Linked DNA regions of Astyanax mexicanus. The main gene of each other region encodes a partner of the protein of the gene in region 2 in a complex. Links are inferred from orthologs where the notes say so. Each region holds a gene or a part of one and is shown on either strand. Other genes may lie near its edges.

Region 1 (9,907 bases), on a different chromosome or scaffold from region 2:
TGTTTTCTTCTAAGTATGGTCATAGCAAACTGCAGAGGTACCTGACTTTTAAGAATTTAAGTGAGAGATTTTTATCTAAAACCAAAACAGAACAAAAGACAGTTAGGCCAAAGGCAGTTTTGCCGGTTTTGTTACATTTTGCCATTTTTTTCATCAATTCATATACTTGAATCCTTCAAAGCATTGAATCCTTTAATCTTTGAACTAAACTGGATAAATGTCATTTCATCTACCTTTTCAAAGAAAAGCAAAGACACAACAAACAGACATTCCAACAAAGCATAACATGACCTAAAACAAAAATTAAAGAGTGTTTTAATTTAAGTAATAAATGTTGTAACGTGTTGTAACTCTTTGCAGATGTACTCCCCTTTGACAAATAATCAGATATTAATATTTATTTATTAAACTGAAATTATTTCTGCGTTTACAAAAAAGCAGCTCACTCTAATCTGGTTGTGATTTATTTGAGCTATGAATATCATTATTGTTTTTTATAGTTTCACTAATTTCATTCAGCAGAAACCTAAAATTGTTTTTATGTGATGTCCGGCTAAATAATTACAGTTGACAAATATTGGACTGAGGTCCAGAGAAGTGTCTGTTTAGTGGTTCTCCTAGTTGACATCTACATAAAGTTTATAATTTAGTCTTTTAATAATTAACTTTCTAACAAGTAATTATACTGTGCCAACATTAAAACTTCAAAACTTCAAATTGCTCATACACTTATTCATGTGTCATAAACTCATGTTAAGCAGCTGTTCTGGATATGTTTGAAGGAATCGACCCCTCCTTTTTTTTGCACCACAAACATTACCCAATATGCCATCAAGACGTGTAAGATGTCATACTGCTCCTTAAATGATTGAGTGGGTTGGGAAATGTGAACGTCACAAGGAAACACAATGATCAGATTTAAATACCGGTGATGACTGGTGGTACTGTGTTGGGAAATGTGTGGAGAAAAATGACCCAACCGCTATAGGAGGTGTGTGGGCAGCAGAATTAATAGAATGTATGGGAAACTACATTTGTAGGTCATTTATGATGTAAAAAAAAAGAAATTCTCATAAAAATATGACAAAGCAATGTGAGGTAGCTTTTAAGGCCAGAAGAGGAGCTACGAAGTGCAGACAGACACTCTTAGTGTGTTTATATTTAGTAGTTTGGTTCATTCTGTCATGAGCATTGTGATGCATTTTATTCCTGGTTTGCTTTGCGCTCTTCAGCTTGTGTGATGTAGGATGTATGTGTGACAGAAGGCTGTTAGAAGGGGTTTGTCTTTTTGCTAGGAAAACATCTTTACTGAGACAATGGAACTTTTAAATGCAGTTTTAGTGGTGATTAGTATTAATACACTGTGTGATAGTGTCTGATTTGGAACATTCCTGCTAAATTGAAGGTTTAGGCAGGAAGTAGTTAAAGCACAGTTTGTAAGTAATACTTTGATCATGTGCCTATTCAAAACTCTAGTTTGTTTGAATCAAAACACTTGAAAACACATTTTACAGTCTCTGACTGAACCCCCTCTTTTTGCCCTATAGATCAGAATACGTGTGATGTCGCTTGTGTAGAGGACTGGCTTTTCCGAGTCTCAGGAGTCGCTGTATTTCTGGAGCTCCTGATTGGTGAGGGTCTTGAGGTTGGGTTGACTTCGTGTACACCGCCTCTTCTGCTGCCGCAGTGTCGAGATGCTCCCTGGAGTGCGCTCCGGTGTTTGCTAGATCTACCTCTTCTCATGTTCTTGAGCCCTCAGATGCCTGAAGGACACAAAGCTCCCTGGAGGTTGCTGTTCTCAACAAACGTACATGGGGAAAGCTTTACCCGCCTGGTTGGAAACTGCAAAAGTCAAGGCCCCACTGTTATTCTGGTGAAAGACACCAAGGGCCACATATTCGGAGGCTTTGCTTCTCACAGCTGGGAGATTAAACCCCAGTTTCAGGGTAAGTGATGAGGAGGAAACAGAAGAAATTAAAACATGTTTTTTTTGCATATTCGCCTTTTTATTGTGCCAGGTCTGATGCTTATCACTTCTGACCAGGTGATTCCAGGTGCTTCCTGTTCTCTGTGTTCCCATCCATGCGAGTTTTCACATGCACAGGGTATAACCAGCACTACATGTACATGAACCTGGGCCAGCACACCATGCCCAATGGCCTGGTGAGACAATACATCCTTGTAGATTCTATAACAATGAATCATTCTTGTTGTATTAAGTAACAACAATATTAATTATGATAACACTGATAATGAACATTGTACTGCAACTATCTATTAATTATACAATCATACAATTTTCTGTGTCTTTTGCATTTTTTGTTACTTTTTATTACTAGGTTCAAGTACTAGATAGATCTGTTGAAGTTGATGGATGGTAGGATGATAGATGGTCTTCTCTGAACTATACCCTTTCCTCATTGTCTTGTCTCAGGGTATGGGTGGACAGCACGGGTACTTCGGACTGTGGCTGGACTATGACTTTGGGAAAGGTCACAGTCGGGCTCGACCAAGCTGTACCACATACGGTAGCCCTCAGCTCTCAGGGGATGAGGACTTTACAATGGATACAGTCGAAGTTTGGGGGGTCGGCATACCCCCTTCAGAACAGGAACAGGACGAGGTCAGCAACAGATCTGTAGTGACACACTCATTCAGAATTATTGGATTTCTTCATTAGTGTCTGTTAATTGGTAATTTCAGATGCAAATGAACTAAATGTTTGTGGATACTTTTTTTCTCTCAGTTCACCCATTCTGGATACAGATATGCAAATGCAGACACACATACACAGCTTGAAGAATTGGCAATAGAATAGGACTCTCAGGGGCAAAAAAACAAGTAAAGACCCCCAGCATTGAGCTGTGGAGTAGTGGATTGAATTTGATTGCTCTTGTGGCTAAATACAACGAAATCCTCATAGCAGTGCTAGTAATCAAAAAATCTAGTAGAATGTTTTCCTTGGACAGTAGAAACAGTTACTCCAAAAAAAGCATGTCTTTTTAAAATGTATTTTTAATATATTTTATCATTTGAGGTTTTAGCTACTATAGCACTTTGTATGAATATAGAGGTTAATTTATCCACTTTGTGGCACTGATGTTTTACACTAAATGCAGAAAATTAAGAATTTATTATTTTGTTTGTTGGGATGTTGCTTTACAGGATGAGGGTAAGAAGAGCATTCTGGATGCGGATCCTGAGTTGCAGGCCATCATGGAGATGACTGGGAAAAAAATCTACAGCCAAGGCCTCAGAGAGCCAGAGGAAGACACAGGAAATGAAGTAGAGGTTGAAAAAATGAGAGGATTAAGGGATACATTTAACACATAAAAAAGACAACAAACTTTTTTATTGCAGAGCTGCTTTTAGATGGATGTTTTCTCATTTATTTTGCATAATTTAATCAAATGATTGGATCTCATGACGGTTACAGCAGCTAAGTTTCGCTATATATATATCCAAATATATGCAGATTGAAAAAAGTTATTTTGAATTAATAAAAAGAGGAGCTGGTTTCCTGCTATGTGAAGAATTCTAGAATCTGCTAAAGACATGTTATATGCTGACCTGTTCCTGATCAATAACGAGTATGTAAGACATTCAAATATACACTAATACAAATCAGTGCAAATCAGTGTTACAGTTTGTGTGTGATGAAGTGGTTTATTGGTTGATAAAAAAATAAAACTGTTAATTTATTTTTACTGCTTTACTTTTTGCGTTGGCTGCTTTTTGAAACTGATTAAAATTATGAACTGAAAGGATTGTGAATGATAATGCATTGCTGTTGCATACAAATTCACCTTTGAGATGAAGGCCATGTATAGTCAGACCCATTGATATTTGGTCAATAAAATAACGACCTTAATGATTTGTAATTAATTAACTTTTATAACCTCATTAGGAATTACTACAATTTTTCACAGTGCCTGCTATTATAGTTAAACTCTTTAAGAAACAGTATTTAGAGTCATAGCATTCTGCTCATTTTCGTTCAGATGCTAGTAGAACAACGCCACACAGAAGTGATCAAACCCATTGAATATCAGCTAAAAGTCAACACTGACACAAGTCAGTCAAGTGGAAGTCCATGGGCAGCCAGAGATTCATTCAACTGTTTAACAGAAGGATGTGCTTGTGGAACTGGAGGGACCACAAAAATAAATAAATGTAATGATTTTGGATGGGATTGGGTTAAATATTGATAATTTCTTGAATTACATCTGAACTTTTCATACAGTGCCAATCCTGCCGTTAAATCCACCTTAAAAGCTTATACTTACGATTTTGGATTTTCTTTTTGATTGAAAGAAAACAAACACCCTGGAGAAATGCCCCCCATCTATTCCAACAGAGAGCACTAATATTTGGATGAGAGTAAACTATCAAAAATTAAACTGCATTAGCTTTTCAAACAACATTTGATTTTATGTTAAGTTGGGGCTTATCAAAAACCAGACTTTCCCACTGGTAAATACGAGTTTGTCCCCTAATCTGGTAATGCAATATTTCTGACATTAATTGAAGGTAGCTGATGTCCATTGCCACGGCCACACATGTATCCACCACCATGTTTAACAGAAAGCTAACAGAAAATTGTCTGATTCACTAATTACTTTTGATTCTGTGAAAAATGGCTGAAATTACAAAATATAAATAAATTAAATAATTAGTCAGTTTATCAAATTGACCTGCCTGATTTTTTTGCTCACATTGTTTAAAAAGTTTACAGTATGTTAATGTTCATTGTTTTGTATTTGTGCCTACATGCTTTGAAATGTCACCTCCCACGTCTGTGCTGAACCTGACAAAGTTTCCAGACACATTTGGGCAGCATGGGGACCACAATGCTGTCTGCTTTTTGTTGTTCGTGCTTCTTTCTTGTCCTTATTCTCTCATCTACTTTCTTCTAGGTAGCAAATATTTCTAGTTCCAAAAAGTAAAACTCCACCCCAGGAGTTTGTTGCTTGAAAGGAAGGCTTGGTTGCACACTAGTGAGCAATCCATGCAGTTGTAACAAAGTCCTGGCGGCGGATTTTTACTTTCTGGACCTGGATTTGCCACTTTTGCACGTCTCGCTCTGTTCAGTTGGATGCAAATGATGGGGAAAATGACGTTAGATATGTAAAGCGTGAGTTTCCATACTGACTCGAAATTTACATTGTCACTTCACTTTCGGTGCGGTTTGCTGAGGCTGGGTCCTGTTCTGTGTGAGAACTTTGGATCAGAAGTAAGGGAGCTGGTCTTAAGGAGGCTTTTTCTAGGGGTTGTGGTCAGTTTTGGGCTGGAGCAGAGCGAGTAGAGGACCAGTAACAAGTGCTTTCATTTTCACATCTTCACACTGCTGACTCTCCCTGAGGCTTCAGAACTGTTCCTCCAGACTTTAGTGAGGGGTGTTAGAGACAGTGATGTGAGGAGGTGAAAGTGTGGTAGCCTCAGAGACCTAGCTGGCTGGCTTTCTTGAGGACTTTGCATTGATAGCATCTTCACTTCCGTGTCTTTTTATGAAGGCTATTCTTATAAGCTTCGCTTTACTTCCTTGTGTTCAGAGAATAGAGGAACTGACCACTTTGTAACTTTGTAGCTGGTCTCTTATCATTATCATCATCTACATTTAGCTCTTTTTCTCGGATTTTATGTATAAAATGTGAATATCTCTGCTGCAGAAGGACTGCTTTTGGATGTGAGCGTTTGTTTTCCTCTGAGGCGGGTAAGTTTGAACTGCTTGAGAGCTCAACATCAGCCTAAAAAAGTGTGTGAAAGGGAAAGATAGCCAGTTAGCATTTCTGAGTCTGTTGCCTTTAAATGTATGTAGTATGCAGGTCATAATAAAAATATAACTTAATGTGTAAAATGTTTTAATTGAAAACTGTGTACTGTGTTGCTGTGTAACAATGTAATTGGAATTAACACATTGTTACAAATATAGATGAATGTTAACCTTTACTTTAAACGTTTTTTTTTGTACATTTTATACCGTTTTTTTAATAATATAAGGGAGTTTTTATTTGCCATGTCCACAGTGCTCCCTGGTTAAGATGATTAATCCTTTATTATAGCCTATTATTTAAAAAAAAAAAAAGTTAGTTGAACGTTTTGTAAATTTTACAGTTAACGTTCTTCGAACGTTTAGTTTTTTGTATGTTCTTTACTTAACCTTTTTTAACGTTCTAGCAAAGTCACGTGTCAACATTTTAATTGTTAGTTTTAGGAATGTTACTTTTAACGTTTCTACTACGTTAATTTAATCTAGCTGGGAACGTTATGTGAGAAACATTCTAATAACCTTGTGAAGCAAACCATTACATATTAGGCTAACTCTTTTAAAACGTTGCTAAACATTCTTCTAACGTTCTCTTTATATATATATATATATATATATATATATATATATATATATATATATATATATATATATATATATATATATATACGTATATATATAATGGGGTGGGGGACATTTATGAAAATAGCCCTAGGGATTTGCAAATATTTACAGTCTTTGCAGGCGCTCTGTTTGTTGATCCAAGTATAGTTTGCATATACTTTTTAATTTCAATTTTAAAAAGCATACACAGCGGGGTGCTCTTTTTACCTTTATGAAAATAAAATTTAGCTAAAATTATAATTAGATTAATGATATAATATTAATCTATCTTATGTTTAACATTATCAACATAAATATCAATAACAAATATTATCAATAACAATAAGTTTTTTCAAAACATTTCAATAAACTCGCAATGTCAAAACATGTAATAGGGTTACTGGGTGTACATAACAAAAAAAAGCAACTTGAATCTGGTTTAATAATGGTTTGTTGGGTATCACCTATGTAGTATTTTAAATGTAACTTCCTTTACTTTATTAATCACTAGAAATTTAAAAGGTAAGATCCAAATCTTTTTCCATTCTAAGTCTCATATATATTGGTTCCAATAAAATGTAACATTAAGAACTGAGACACTGTCTCTCTGAAATAAAGCTCTAATTGATTTGTTATTATTTTTGAGTTTAGAGGAGAAGCACATCTTGCCAATAAGCTGGGCCTCTTTAAGAAAGGAACCTTTCATATCAGTGACATCACTGATATTTACACAACATTCACACTATTTTATTTTCAAAGGACTTAAGACCCAAATTCAGTGATTTAATTATATAAATTCCACTTCACTTTGTTTAGTTTCTATATACTTAGCTGCGGTAAAGTAAAATCTAAATAAATCTTGAAATGAAATAAGGTTAAAAAAAAAGAGAATTAAAAATATGCGCAGCAGTAGGTCATTTTTAGGTCAAGTTTTCATCAAATGTCAATTTTTACTAAAACTGTTGTGCAGCTTAACATAAACATGCACTCAAGGAATTAAGCCTGGGAAATATTCCTATGTAGCCTAAAGTTTTATAAATATGATAATAAATCATACATTTCGGCCCATGTATGTTTGGTAGGTCAGTGAATGAACAACAGGATGGGTTAGGGGATTTTTTTTTTGTTCTGGGTAGTAGTTTTTTTGGCTTGTTTTTTTAGGCAGTGGCAGCCAACTCTTTCCTGAGAAACCGTTATTTTGAGGCTTACTGTGAATGATGATGGATCCTGTTAAGCTGAACTGAGTGAATTGAGATAGAGATGCTTCTCTGTTCTATAAACATAATGGCATTTTTGTTAATACTGAGTGTTAAAAATGAGTTTTCCATTGTCCTTTTCAGTATTTAATAATTATTTTGATACTTTGAATTGTAACCCTGTATATTATATCGCCAAGTTCTTCCCAATACACAGCCCTAGCCAATACATTAAAAAACAATAAAACCAGTCAATCGGTGTACTTAAACAAAAAAGGCCCAAACAGTGTAGGAATCTGGCCCTCAGGTTCGGAATTGCCCAACCCCTGCTTTACACCATACTTACCATTTTTAGTACACTTTTCTTTAAACTCTTCTTTTTTCATGCTTAGTCCTTAGTTGCAGAAACATACATTATCCTCAATGTATCTTCAATTACAATGAGAAAATCCATTTTGTAGCTATCACATTGTATATTATGGAGTAATAACAGTGAGTAAAAACAGTGAATAAAGAGTGGGCCAACATATGTTCGCTAAAGTAATCAATTTAAAGGGGGTTAAACTAATATATAAAACATTTTCTCATGCAAATGTTTTTGCACCTAAATATTTGGCTGCTTATTTTTTAAGTGAAGTTCCCTACATAAAGCTTATCATCATTTCAGAGCACAATTAACAATAGATTTGTAATAAAACTTCCTGGAAAGAAGTCAAACATATTGTATGTTATGTGCCATTGCTTAATAAATCAACATAAATGAGTATTTTCTCTTTAAAGACATAAATCTATTTTTTTTTGTTGCTAACTTTTGCTGTGCTGTACTTTGTTTTTATCACACTGTTTTTGTATTCTCTCATATCATTGATTTGGTTGCATTGTTATATGTACAGTTTCAGTAAAGGTTCACACACTTATACTGGCTCTCTTTACTTCTCTCTCTCCTTCTCTTTCTCTCTTTTTCTCAGGCAGAGTGCAAAGTTTTCTACCAACACACCATTGAGTTGACTGGGTTAATGCTTTACTAAACCAGAAGGACTCTAATCTTCCAACTCTCTGGGTGAGTCCCTCCATGATTTGCTCCACTGTTTCATTTGCAATGCAAATACTAGCCACTGTAGGAACAGTGTGACCATGTGTTTTTGCGTGCCGCTGGTTAAGCATTAAGAAAAACAGTTAAGAAAGGTATACTGTTTCATTAAGTCCACATCAAAGACCGAAACTCAGATGCTTACTGTTGATATTCTTCACTAGAACAGTTTGGGCAGTTCTGTGTTTTAGACTATCAACAAACATTGGATTAAGTATCAAGTATTATCAGCAGGACCAGCAGGATCATGTTCATACATATGTTAGCACGTCTGCTTTTTTTTTTTGCTTGATGGGTGCCAATATGAAAATCTCATATGTGGTGGTATGTGCACATATATTTCAAAGTATATGGCCTATTTTTCAAGATACATCTACATATATTGTATACATGTATGCAAGTATCATATGTTGGATATCATATTTGAATCAGATATTTTTGATTGGTAGGTTAATACACGTAAATGTTTGACATATAGCTGAAATGTATGTCACATATATGTTGAATATATTTTAATATGTGACAAAAATCAGTTCCACATAATGAAATTCTTAATTCTAAATAATATTATGTATATGTACAGTATATGTCCAATGTTTGTGGACACACCCTGTCAAATGAAGGTATTCAACTACAGCGTACCCTGTAAAAAAGAATAGAACTCTAAACATGAACCCATATATTGACATCATGTCTAATGTCATGTGTAGGCAAGAGGCAAGTGCATTTAGCTGTGGTACAATGGAGCTGTGTTTCTGGAATGATGGTGCTCTATCCAATGTTATGCTATTTAATAGAAAGCCTGGTCAGTAGACAGAGTTACTCCAACAAAAGCAGAGTAAACTATTTCAGAACAATGAATAAGCAATATTTTTGTCCATATAGTCTAAGTCATATCTTTGTAATCTATAAATTGCCATACGACACTTTTCTGTATGGATTTGAATGTTAACATATGCAATGTTTATAATCCACCAAGCTTAAACTGCAGTACCACATTTTCTCTGACACATTCTGACTGCTGACAGTGTGTGAGAGCTGTTTTCTCTAGCACCAGCAATTTCTTAGTTGTTTGCTTCTCTTACAGTGTCATGCAAAAGTGTACATAGAGTTCAGTAAACACTTCTCTCACTGTAAGAAGATCTATCTACATAATACATACAGTTAAAGATAAAACATTCCTTTCAAAATGTTCATTAGTATTAATGTACTTGCATTGTACAGTATTAAAGAAATGCAAAGGTTTGGAAT
Region 2 (10,865 bases):
TCATACGAATTAATAATCACACTGTGGAGTGGCATTCTACAACAACTGACCCAACTTCTTCTAACAATTCTTCTAACAAATCACATACACAGGGGTTCAATGCTCCAGCCTCTACTCTCTGAAGTGTTGGTTCCTACAGCATTTCTTTCCTGTAATCTGCAGTGTGGTTCTGAACATGGAAAAGAGTTTCATATATAGCTGCTGTTTTTTCTTTTCCTGCTTTTATAATGTGTGTTCACACAAATACAGGGACAATTTAAATAAAAATTATGCATGGAAGAAAGTAGCGGGTGGCTCAATAAGTAGCTTGCTAGATTAGCCAGCATTCTAGCTGGCTTTGCCGATTAACACACCCGCATGCGGCAAAAGGAACTTGATTTTTTGAAAAGTCCACATGAGCTGGTGCAAACAATGAAAACAGTGCAAACATATACCTGCTTGCCATTGTAAAAGTTCTTTAACTCATATGTTCCTTTTATGTTTGACATATAGCAGTTTAACCCATTTTGTCTCTTGTAAAAGTTTAGGGGTAAGTTCAGTGTAAAATGGAAATTCTAACTCACTCCATATCATGCTGCGTTTCAGTGTGAGTTTTGGAGTTTCTCTAAAGTCAGAGATATACTTGCAGTTTGACAGTTTGTGCGTTTGCGTAGATAACTGGTTGCAACGTCAACATAAGTGTTGGCATATTTTTCTATGTGCTACTTGTGTTACTGGAAGCTTCCACTATAAAATCTTGGTTACGCTACACAACTTTTAAAGGTGGAGCAGATTTTAAACAGATTACACTACTATCACACTACACAACTGTTGTTAATCTTTTATAGAATCTGGTCAATATGATGGAATGCAAAATTAGAATATTTTTATAAAGGCTGTAATTACTTTTTAAGGTCTGTTTTCATTGGCTGCTGATAGAGTCTGTTTAGACTTAAGTTCACACTACCTAGTCCCACCCAAAATCAAAATGCTTGAGTTCTTGCGACTGATGTGTGTGCGGATGTGATTTTGAGGCTAAAAATTGAGTCTCGTCTCCTCATACACTACACTTTCACGACTAGCTTTGACTGAACCAGAGTCTGAAGACCAGAGCCAACTAGCACTGACTCACCACAGCTGGAAATCTGGGTTAAAATTGGGATTAAAGTTAAAGATAAAAGTAGTAACTTCAGTTTAAAGCAGACTGGAGATAAGTGACCAGGTTTCCACATCGAATAATAATACTGATTGCTCACAAACTACAAGATTAATCACATTTTTCCTTCTGAAAACTTTAACAATGGATATTTAAACGTGTAAAAAAAGAATCATTGTAAGATAATCACAGTGAGGTTTTGTTGAAATATGTTTGTTTAATTTAATCTTTCCAACATTGAGTGTTAAGTATATTTCATTGACATTGGCTTGTTCTAACTCTTCCAAATAAAATAATTTTTTTTATATATCTTTTTTCAACTCTGAATCTAATAACACACTTATTTAACTATTCAAAACATGTATGGGTCAAACTCAGGCAGCTTTACTTAATTTTTACAAGGTTTCTAATCCGAAAATGGTTACAAACTCATGTGACATTTAAAAAGCATGTTTAAATGCAAGTCCACTTATTCCTTTGATTTTCTCTCAAGAAAGTGTTTATTTTAAAGAAATGGTTTACTTCATGTTCAAATAATTGATATTTATGACAAAAAAAATACTCCTGTTAAAGGAACTCATTCCTGTTACTGGAACTCACTCATGTTATTGCTACATCTCTGAAGGGGTTTTTACATTGTTAAATACAACCCGCGAAAACAACAACAACAAAAATTGTATATGTCCCCAGGCTTTGGAAAAATAATTACATTAAGACATTGGGAACAAAATGAATACAATTATTATTTTGTATTGTAAAATATGTAACAACAATCTTGTGTGTTAGCTTCTTTTTAAAAAGAAATATTTTATTTTTACTGCAAGTCAGTGTAAAATTATACTGAACAACAAGATTCACATTATGTAAAAAGTGAAACAAAAAGAGAACATTTTTGCTTAACAAAAAAGCTAGTTCAAACCCGAATGATCATGCCACCAGTTCTTATATTTTTATTATTAAAAGAATAACAATAAAGAGACTATTATTTTAGCTAAGTAATCAAATTAGTTGCTTGTTAAAGTGCTTGTAATTATCTGCTGTTATCAAGATTGTATGTATTTAATAGCACTCATTGTTTCAGCTAGCAAAGTCTGCTATTTCTGTACAAGTTCACAACAAGTTTAATTGCTCTGAATAAATAAACGTGGCTTTTTATCCCGGAAATCAGAATGCTGCTAACTTGACTTTGGGGAAAAGCCCTGTTAGTCACGGCCCAGTAGTAGTTTAGCAGACTGCACGTCTGGACACACCCAAATCCTCCCCAAGGTATTCCTCTGGAAGATCAAAAGTGAGGAAGAAGTGTTTAGTGTGGAAATATGCCTGTGGTTTCCTCAATTACTGGATAAAATTCCATGTCCATTAAAAATGGAAAAGATTCAAAGTTTAGTATTTTTTAAAAGTTGATACATATATAAAGTAAAAAGTACTTGATTTTAGGATATTCTAATAATTTTAACGTCTTATATATGGAATGATGGGCTTCAGAAAAATGGGGACCAGCTTACATTTCATCCAGCATTTGTAAAGCACAAAAGCAATGCCCTACATCCACCTATAGGCACAAACAGACATTAACTAGTAAGTTAAGAAACCTAAGTGGAACCCGGAAAAAATACACGAGTAGACGGCTGCAGACTACCACTGTTTGCATTGATAGGGTTGATGAAAACATGTTTGAAATGACTTATATCCTTGAAGGAGTTTATAAGCTATGTTACCTCACATATTTGGTTATTCAGTTGTAGTGGTAGTTACAGTAGTCAAATTTACAACTTTAATAACTTTTAATAATAATACTTTGATTAGTATTTACAATTAATGCTGTCCCCATCAAATTTCTAACAATGGGAAAAGACTGTAAATCTCATTACTGTATATACAGCTCTGGAAAAAAATAGACCACTTACAAATGATGAGTCCTTTGATTTTACCAAATTGGAAACCTCTGGAATATCAAGAGGAAGACGGATGATCAGCAGCCATCAAACCAAGGTGAACTTGGCTGCCTGCCAGGAATGGCATTAAGTTATCCAAAAGCAGTATGTAAGACTGGTGGAGAAGAACTGTGATTCTGGAGGGAACTTGTGATTAAAAACCAGGGTTATTACACCAAATATTGATTTCTGAACTCTTAAAACTTTTTGAATATGAACTTGTTTTCTTTTGCATTATTTGAGGTCCGAAAGCTCTGCATTATTCTGCAAATAAATGCTCTAAAAGACAATATTTTTTATTTGGAATTTGGGAGAAATTTCATAGTGTATAAAATAAAACAACAATGTTCATTTTACTCAAACATATACCTTTAAATAGCAAAATTAGAGAAACTGATTCAGAAACTGAAGTGCTCTCTTAATTTTTTTTCAGAACTGTATGTGCCCAATCATGTCTCTGTCTCTGAACCTACTACAAAATCTTCCAGCTCCCCGGTTGTTTGGCACAGAAACATATATGGGGTTCAGAACAAGTTTTGAATTATGTACTCTATAAAAATGCAAATGAACTTTTTCTGCACAGTTTAACAAGATCAGATATTTGAGTAAAGTTAAAATGTTAAAAATGTGTCTCTTTGTATTGTTTTACTAGATTTTTGTTTGTTGAATTGGACATTATAATTACAATTACATTTCAATACATTATTTAAACAAAAGAAAATGTTTTATGTATATACAGAGATGAGATTGGAGATTGGAGATTGGATAGTCCAGGTCCAGGGTTCTATTTGTAACATTAGTCTAGCATTCCCCACTCTAAGCTAAGGTAGCGTGTTACTACATGTATAGCACCTGGAATAAATGATAAATCGTATTAATTAGCTTATAAGCGAAACTATTCCTATATTGATAAGAATAAGAAACGTGTCAGTATTATTCCAACTTAGCTCAGATGTATGTTCATAAATCCAGTCTTTTTTGTGTCCATGTTTAGCTTGGTTAGCATATAGAACCAGTGCTAGGCTATTACTATACAATATACAAGTCAACAAGTCTGGGCAACATTAATGAAAATGTGGACATGGTTTGAGTGGTTTGAGTGGCTTTAGAGACGTGCGTGGACATGATTTTAATAGAAAGATTTGGTAACTACTTACTTGCAGTGTTTGTTAGCCAATCATCATTAGCCTGATTGACTAGCCTACATTTTGCACCAAAGCAGAACATAACACTTCACTTCTTTGTCATGTTAACACTTAATTTGCATTTTTATAGAAGTAACTTTACAGGAGTAAAAACTCATTCATTTTAATAAAAGTCAGCATATAAAATCCAGTTATTTTGGACCATTTTTACAATCGTATCATATTGAAATTTAGTCAAAATGTAACAAATATATTTAACATAAAAATATAAGGTAATGAATAAAATTGAAATATAACTTTACTTCATTCAGGTGCTTGTCTAAAGAGCCAGCCACTAAGCATATTGATTTGTAAAGTACCCCAAAGCAATGACATCACACAAAAAAAACACAACAGAAAATGAATATTTTACATTGTTATATTACTCAGCTAATCATTTCAGAAAGGTAAAGGGTTCATGTGTATTATCTTGAACTTTCGTTATGCTAATCATACACTAGACAACTTTGAAAAGACTCTGAAAAGACTTTTGATAGACCGAAGTCTTAAACCTTCTCACATATAAAGACAAGTCACAGACCTTTTAGTCACAGACTAGTCAGAGACTAAGATTTTGCAAAGATTGGGGATCTTGCAGGGTCACTATTTGCAAGACAGGAAGTAGATTTTTTTTTTTATTATTATTATAATTCAGCAAGTTCTTTCCACGTTTTCTTCTTTCTCCACTGTTGTGGTATAAATAGGAAGACACGTCAGAAAGAGACACTCCACATCACTATTTGCATGAACCAAATCTCGAGACTCAAGACTATAATATTAAACACGGTTGATTTTATCTGAACGTTCAATCATAACCACCTTAAACTGAAGGATCAAGATAAGACACACGCAACTCGACTGTAGCAAGACGTTTTTATCCCGACACTGGAAATTTGTTTGCGACAGTGAAATCGCTTGAAAATCACAGCTTTTGAATTTCAGATAACAAAAATAAGATAATTCTTTTTTCAAGAAATGTATAGGTCTGAATGTTTAAATCTAAAAAGCTTAAGTTTTTTGTGAAGCAAGTTTTTTCAGCAGCAAATTTCACCACCTCAAAGTTCTAAATAAATTAGAATATACAAAGATGCGAGGCGAGTTTGTTGTTTGGTGTCGCTTTTTAAAGGAACCTCAAACTCGAACAGACCCGAACAGCAGGCGATAACTTACACAGACAGCACTGAAGGAGGAGGAGGTTTTTATGTAGGATAAACATAAAAGTACATTTCTAGTCTATACATATAAGACATAAAAATAAACAATTAAGAGCTATTTTAGAAGGGCTAATCAGGTTTATTTATCCTTCTTGGGAAAAGAACTACACTCCCACAATGCAACAGAACCAATGGAGAGTCCTGAGGTGTTGTGAATGGCAGAGGGGGGAGCCAGGTTTCAAACCCAGTGATGTAAGCGAGTGTGTGTTGAGTGTGAGTGTGAGTGTGTGTGTGTGTGTGTGTGTGTGTTTGTGTGAGTGAGTGAGTGCGCGCGCGCGCGCTCCATCGTAGGTAGTGAAGCAGCTCCACGCATGACTCCGGAATCTGGTCTTCTCTGTATCCTCTGGTGTGGGAGGCCGAGAGAGCGCGAGCGAGTGAGGGATGCAGAGGATCACGGTAATATCAGCCCGACCAGACCTACAAACTCAGTCTGCGGGGATCAGGCTCGTTTAGGACGGTCTGTAGTTCGAGTCTAGGCGTTTTAGTCGGAGGATTACTGAGCGGAGAAGCGGTAAAAGTTTTTTTTCCTCCCCCCTTCCACTTTTCCTTCGACCAGACCTCCGTCCTAAACAAAAAGAACCCGGGTGGAAATTTTCTTCGCCAGAAAGGCACCGACTCTGCCGGACATTTACGTAAGATTTGTATCTTACCTTTTATATAAAAAAAAAAAAGTCTTACGTGTTTTTGGATTGACGGTAAGATCGTTTTGGAGTGGTTTGCGGTGATCGTGGAAAAGGAGAGCACTTGCAGCCGAGACGCGAGGCGAGTTTGTGTGTGTTGGTGTCGTTTTTAAAGCGCAGGAACCCCAAACTTAAACAGCAAGCGATAACTTACACAGACAGCGCTGGAGGAGAAAGAGGAGATTTTTGTGTAACGTTAGGATCGACTAAAGAAGAAGAAGAATATCAAAAAGAACTTTCTTTATTAACAGCCCGAAAAAGTTTTTTAAATCTCGGAACGAACTTTTTTCCTCTCCGCGTTGAATACAACCCTCACTGGAGCTAAAAGGTGAGTAACATACCACCTAAGTTCACCTAAGATACATTTTCACTGTTTAAATCTGAGTTTGGCTGTTTTTCTAGCTTGTTTTGTTGATGTTTACAGTACTGAAACATGGCATGCCGTGCAAATAACACATCTGGTTGTAGTTACTCAACTAACCTAAATTAGATTAACTAGATGAACGATTTTTTTTTATTCTCACTTCAGCATTTTAGTAGCTTAACTTAGTTAGCTAATGCTTCAAGTGTTCTATCTATCTATCTATCTATCTATCTATCTATCTATCTATCTATCTATCTATCTATCTATCTATCTGCATTGATATGTTCATAATGTGCATTATCTTCCTAGACTATGCAAAGTTAGAATCTTTTAAATATTCTTTTAGTTCATTTACAAAAACGAACCCTTGGTTGCACCTTTTAAGTTAGACTTACCAGGTTAATAATAGTTTGTATCTCACTTCACCATTTTAATATCTTAAATAGGCTAATGCTGCAAGTGCTGTATTGTGGCTAGGTTAGTGTTTTATGTTAAGCACTGGATAGGACTATAATCTAGCTAGCTAGGTAAACGAATATTTTTAAACATTACCTAAATTAGCAAGCTAGTAGCTAGGCTATCCATTTTCTCAATGAGTAGCATCTGTATTTAATGAGTGAACAGGGAGAAAGGTGGCTTTATTTTATTTTTGTATAACCTGCTTGACCTATGTAACTTAGTTAACATCCAGTGCTGCAGATTCTGTCAACTAACTAACTTAGTTAGCTAAAATGTGAGTAACCTAGTTAGCTTTACCAAAGTCCACCTAAGAGAGTTTTTCACGATTTAAATCTGTGTATGGTTGTTTTTCTATCTTTTTTTTGCTTATGTTTACAGTGTTGAAACATGGCATGATGTGCAAATAACAACAAACCGGGGTGTAACGTTAACTTAGTAGGAACTAGTAGGACTATTAGGGTTAGCTAACTAGCTAATCTCTTTTTAGCTAAATATCACGTTAGTTAGCTAGCTAACTAGTTGCTAGTTTACGCTGTTCTTAATGACTAGCATCTGTGTTCAATACGTGAGCAGAGAGAAAGGTTGCCACAAAACAATACTATTAAAATACTAAGAATAGTGAGAAAATACTAAGCCTAAAACTGTTGAAAAGTCAGCGTGTTGCAGGAACAAATGGCTGAAGGCGTTTGGTTAACTAGTTGAGAGAGTTGACGGCGCGCAGCTGGAGCGCAGCACAGTTCAATAGCTGGATAATTCTGCGAATCGGTTCTTTTTTGCGAGTCGTTCACACGAATCGGCTCAGATTTCCTTTTACTTACACGTTTAGGTTTTTAAACATGACACATTATGCAATCAAATAAAGATTAAAAGTTGTTCATTCATGCATTTGCAGCATAAAACGCTTGATTGCACAGAATCAAGTGACTCAGAGTTACTTTCTGAATCATTCTTGGTGACTCAGACGAGTCACTCGTCAAATGGCGCTGCTAATGACACTACATGCGATGCGACTAAGGGATACTATCGAGTTCGAGTTACTAATATTTAATGGAAAAGAAGCAAAAACGAAGAAACTCAGATGTGAATCAGCAAATTGTTTAATTAGTCACTCAAATTATTCAAACGGAGCGGTTTGGATGAGTCGGATCGGTAAACAGACTCGATAGCTAGGTTAAGATAAACTTCTCATCATTAACGTTAGTTCACTAGCTACCATTTGGCACGTTGTTGAGCTTTAGCTAGGTTAGCTGTGCTGTTTTAAAAGGGTTGAATCTAGTGTTTTGTGTCTGAAAAGGGTTTTAGACATCCAGCGCTGTAGATAGTGTAGAGAATATTAAGGTTGAAGATGTTTAACCGTTTTAAGTGTGCACTTTTAAGTGTGCATTTTGCTGTTTGTTAGGAATGTGCAATAGTATACTAATCAGATTGGTAATGTTAGCATAAAGGTAATCAATGAATAGTCTTAGGCTTAGATTTCACTGACATCTGTTTATATTTTAATTTATTTTAACCTGTTATGCTTGGTTAATTTAATAAATGTCTGCATTGTGACTGTCATGCGTGGTACTGTGTTTAAAACGCTACATAAATAAATGAGTTACAGAGATTATGCATATGTTTTAAAAATGTTTAGCTATAAATGTGTCTAAATCAGGCCAAAGTTTCCATATCTATGTGCTTCCAGAAGTCTTGAGTGTAAGCCTTAAGTGTAGCCTTAGCCTTGTTCCTTCATAAACCTTTAACATCTGCTAACAAAACACACAAATATTGTACAGTCAGACTATACCATATTAAAGATATTTTTCTTTTTGTTTTATTCCATTTGCATAGTTCAGGCGAAAAAAAAACAAATCTGCTGGGCTTCTGAACACTAGGCAAAAGTAATTTGTTTTTATCTGTATGTCTATGTTATTTCTTTTTAATCTGTTATTTAGGCCTTTTGGATTTGAAAATCCAGGCTTGTTCTAGGGTGGTCACTGGATAAACAGCAACATTTTACGGGAACGCAGTTTTGAATACCACAGTTGAATGATAATATGGGAGTGTATACTCTGGGGAGACACTGGGGCTGGTGTGTGTTTAGTGGGAGTGCATGGGTTATTTACTTTTCCTTCTTTCCTTCTTCTCAAGCTAAAGGAAAATCATCTTTTTGCAAACTGTTTGCCTTTTCCACCCAGACAGAAGTCACAGTTTTAGCATTTACATGGCAGAGAAAAAGTGAATAGACTAAGTTAACTCCCTAAACTTTGCTTTAGTCGACTAAACCTTACTTTCTCTATAAGAGCAGCATTGATTTGTTCATAATTTGCATTATCTTCCTAAAATGTGAACTCAGATTTTTGGCAAAAGAATCATCTTTCTTGTGTTTTTACTTCTCTTGAAAGGCAAGTTTCCACCTGAGCTCTTGAACATGCTTAAAAACAATGCTTCTAGCTGCAAAGGGTTCTTGCATTAGAATAACTTTTTTTTTTTGCATGAGGAATCAAAGAGAAAGTATATTTATATATTCTTTTACTTCTTATGGAAACAAATGTGGTTCTACTATGGCATGAAGGACCCTTGGTTGCACCTTTATTTTTAAGAGTGTCCTTATGAATTTCACAGCATTCAGTGAGAATGCATTTCCAAGCATTTCTGTGTGCCTTCTATTAAAGCTTCTCTCCATTCCTGAAACACACTTGCTTGCTCTCATTCACGTATGCCCCCTCCCCCCAGTTCCCAGATCTAATTCCGCTTCCCCAAAAACTCTCCCTGCCGATAAGTGGCCATTGTAATTCAAAGTAAAAGCGTTCATGGTCAATTTCCACCTTGTGGCTGGTATTGTGGATGTGTCTGGAAAGCAGAGCAGGGCAGTTTGAATAGTGGAAGGCAGGCTTGCTGCAGCATGCACAGACTTGACCTGAAATCTGATGCAAAACAGCACTGAATGTTGAGAGAGTATGTACCATATATGCATAGGTGTTGCCATTAAAAATATGCATAATTTGTGGAAGTAATTATGGAAATAAATGAATTGATTGTTCCTTTATCAGCTCAACTAGTTTCCAAAGCATTTCTTATCAGTGTGATTTTTTTTTTTACTGCTTTGGAATGTACTTTGGGCCTTTAAAATGAACATTTTCCCCACAGGTTTTAAACATTGAGTAAACCACCGTTTAAAGTCGTGAACACCTAATATTTTTTTACGAAGGTACAATACATTCACCTCAGCAGTTTTTTTCTGAACTAATGAATTTACTTTAGCAGTTCTGCCCTAGTTTCTTTTAGCTAGCTAGCTGGTAAAGAAACACACAAATTCAGATGGCATCCCTCTACTGCCCTGTCCAGCTCATATCTATCATTCGGACAACAGCAAGTTTGTCAAAGGGGTAAACCAAATAAGCGGATAGTAAGCATGAAAAGTAATGTTGAATGCTTCATTTAATTAAATATATTACACAAATGATTAAATGATCTAACATTCTGGTAATAGTACTGATTTGCTCTGAAATCTATATTGTGTGTTACATTAACAACATGTATAAATATAACGATAAAATATAATCATATTTCGCACCTCTATATGTACAGTATTATATACAAGGCTTTTGTGTATTTATAAAATCCTAATTTAACTGGTTTAGCTGCATACTAGTATTACTAAAATCAGGAATATTGTGATTTAGTTAAATATGATGTTTTTTTTATGTATGTTGGTCATATGGAAGTCAGTATGGAATGGTTGTTTTTACAGGTTTTTCAGTTCCGTGATTAGTTCAATTGGCAGATTAATTGTTCAACCCCCGCCCCCCCTCCCTGAGGATATTATGATATCTGTCCTTTGCATTACATTCAACCTTCAAATTAGAGAACTGTAACTAACCTCGTAAAATGCAGATGTTTGGGCCCATAATTG

Evidence for each region. The genes of interacting proteins can lie anywhere in the genome.
Region 1: the proteins of fgfr1a (region 2) and plcg2 are in contact, whole or in part, in a cryo-EM structure (PDB 8JQI), measured with the Homo sapiens proteins. The link is inferred for Astyanax mexicanus from reciprocal best matches to the Homo sapiens genes FGFR1 and PLCG2. Residues at the interface, in NP_075598.2 of Homo sapiens: Lys504, Asn506, His541, Lys542, Lys598, Ser602, Tyr605, Gln606, Arg609, Glu612, Tyr613, Ser616, Lys617, Lys748, Asp755, Arg756, Val758, Ser762, Gln764, Glu765, Tyr766, Leu767, Asp768, Leu769; in NP_001412678.1 of Homo sapiens: Phe528, Arg540, Thr568, Phe569, Pro570, Asn571, Phe577, His585, Cys586, Arg587, Arg589, Ser590, Thr591, Met592, Gly595, Leu601, Thr602, Asn604, Leu622, Arg623, Cys624, Ala625, Glu626, Phe627, Glu738.

Annotation. Positions count from the first base shown.
Region 1 is NC_064416.1:17,441,358-17,451,264, reverse strand, and holds the start of plcg2 (1-phosphatidylinositol 4,5-bisphosphate phosphodiesterase gamma-2), read left to right. Parts: upstream 1-5,148; 5' UTR 5,149-5,233; intron 5,234-5,253; exon of another isoform or gene 5,254-5,669; 5' UTR 5,670-5,713; intron 5,714-8,534; 5' UTR 8,535-8,626; intron 8,627-9,907. Other genes in the region: MTOR-associated protein MEAK7, read left to right, coding at 1,548-1,946, 2,045-2,163, 2,435-2,623, 3,166-3,333. UniProt on the Homo sapiens protein: The production of the second messenger molecules diacylglycerol (DAG) and inositol 1,4,5-trisphosphate (IP3) is mediated by activated phosphatidylinositol-specific phospholipase C enzymes. It is a crucial enzyme in transmembrane signaling.
Region 2 is NC_064419.1:25,848,568-25,859,432, forward strand, and holds the start of fgfr1a (fibroblast growth factor receptor 1-A), read left to right. Parts: upstream 1-5,711; 5' UTR 5,712-6,475; intron 6,476-10,865. UniProt on the Homo sapiens protein: Tyrosine-protein kinase that acts as a cell-surface receptor for fibroblast growth factors and plays an essential role in the regulation of embryonic development, cell proliferation, differentiation and migration.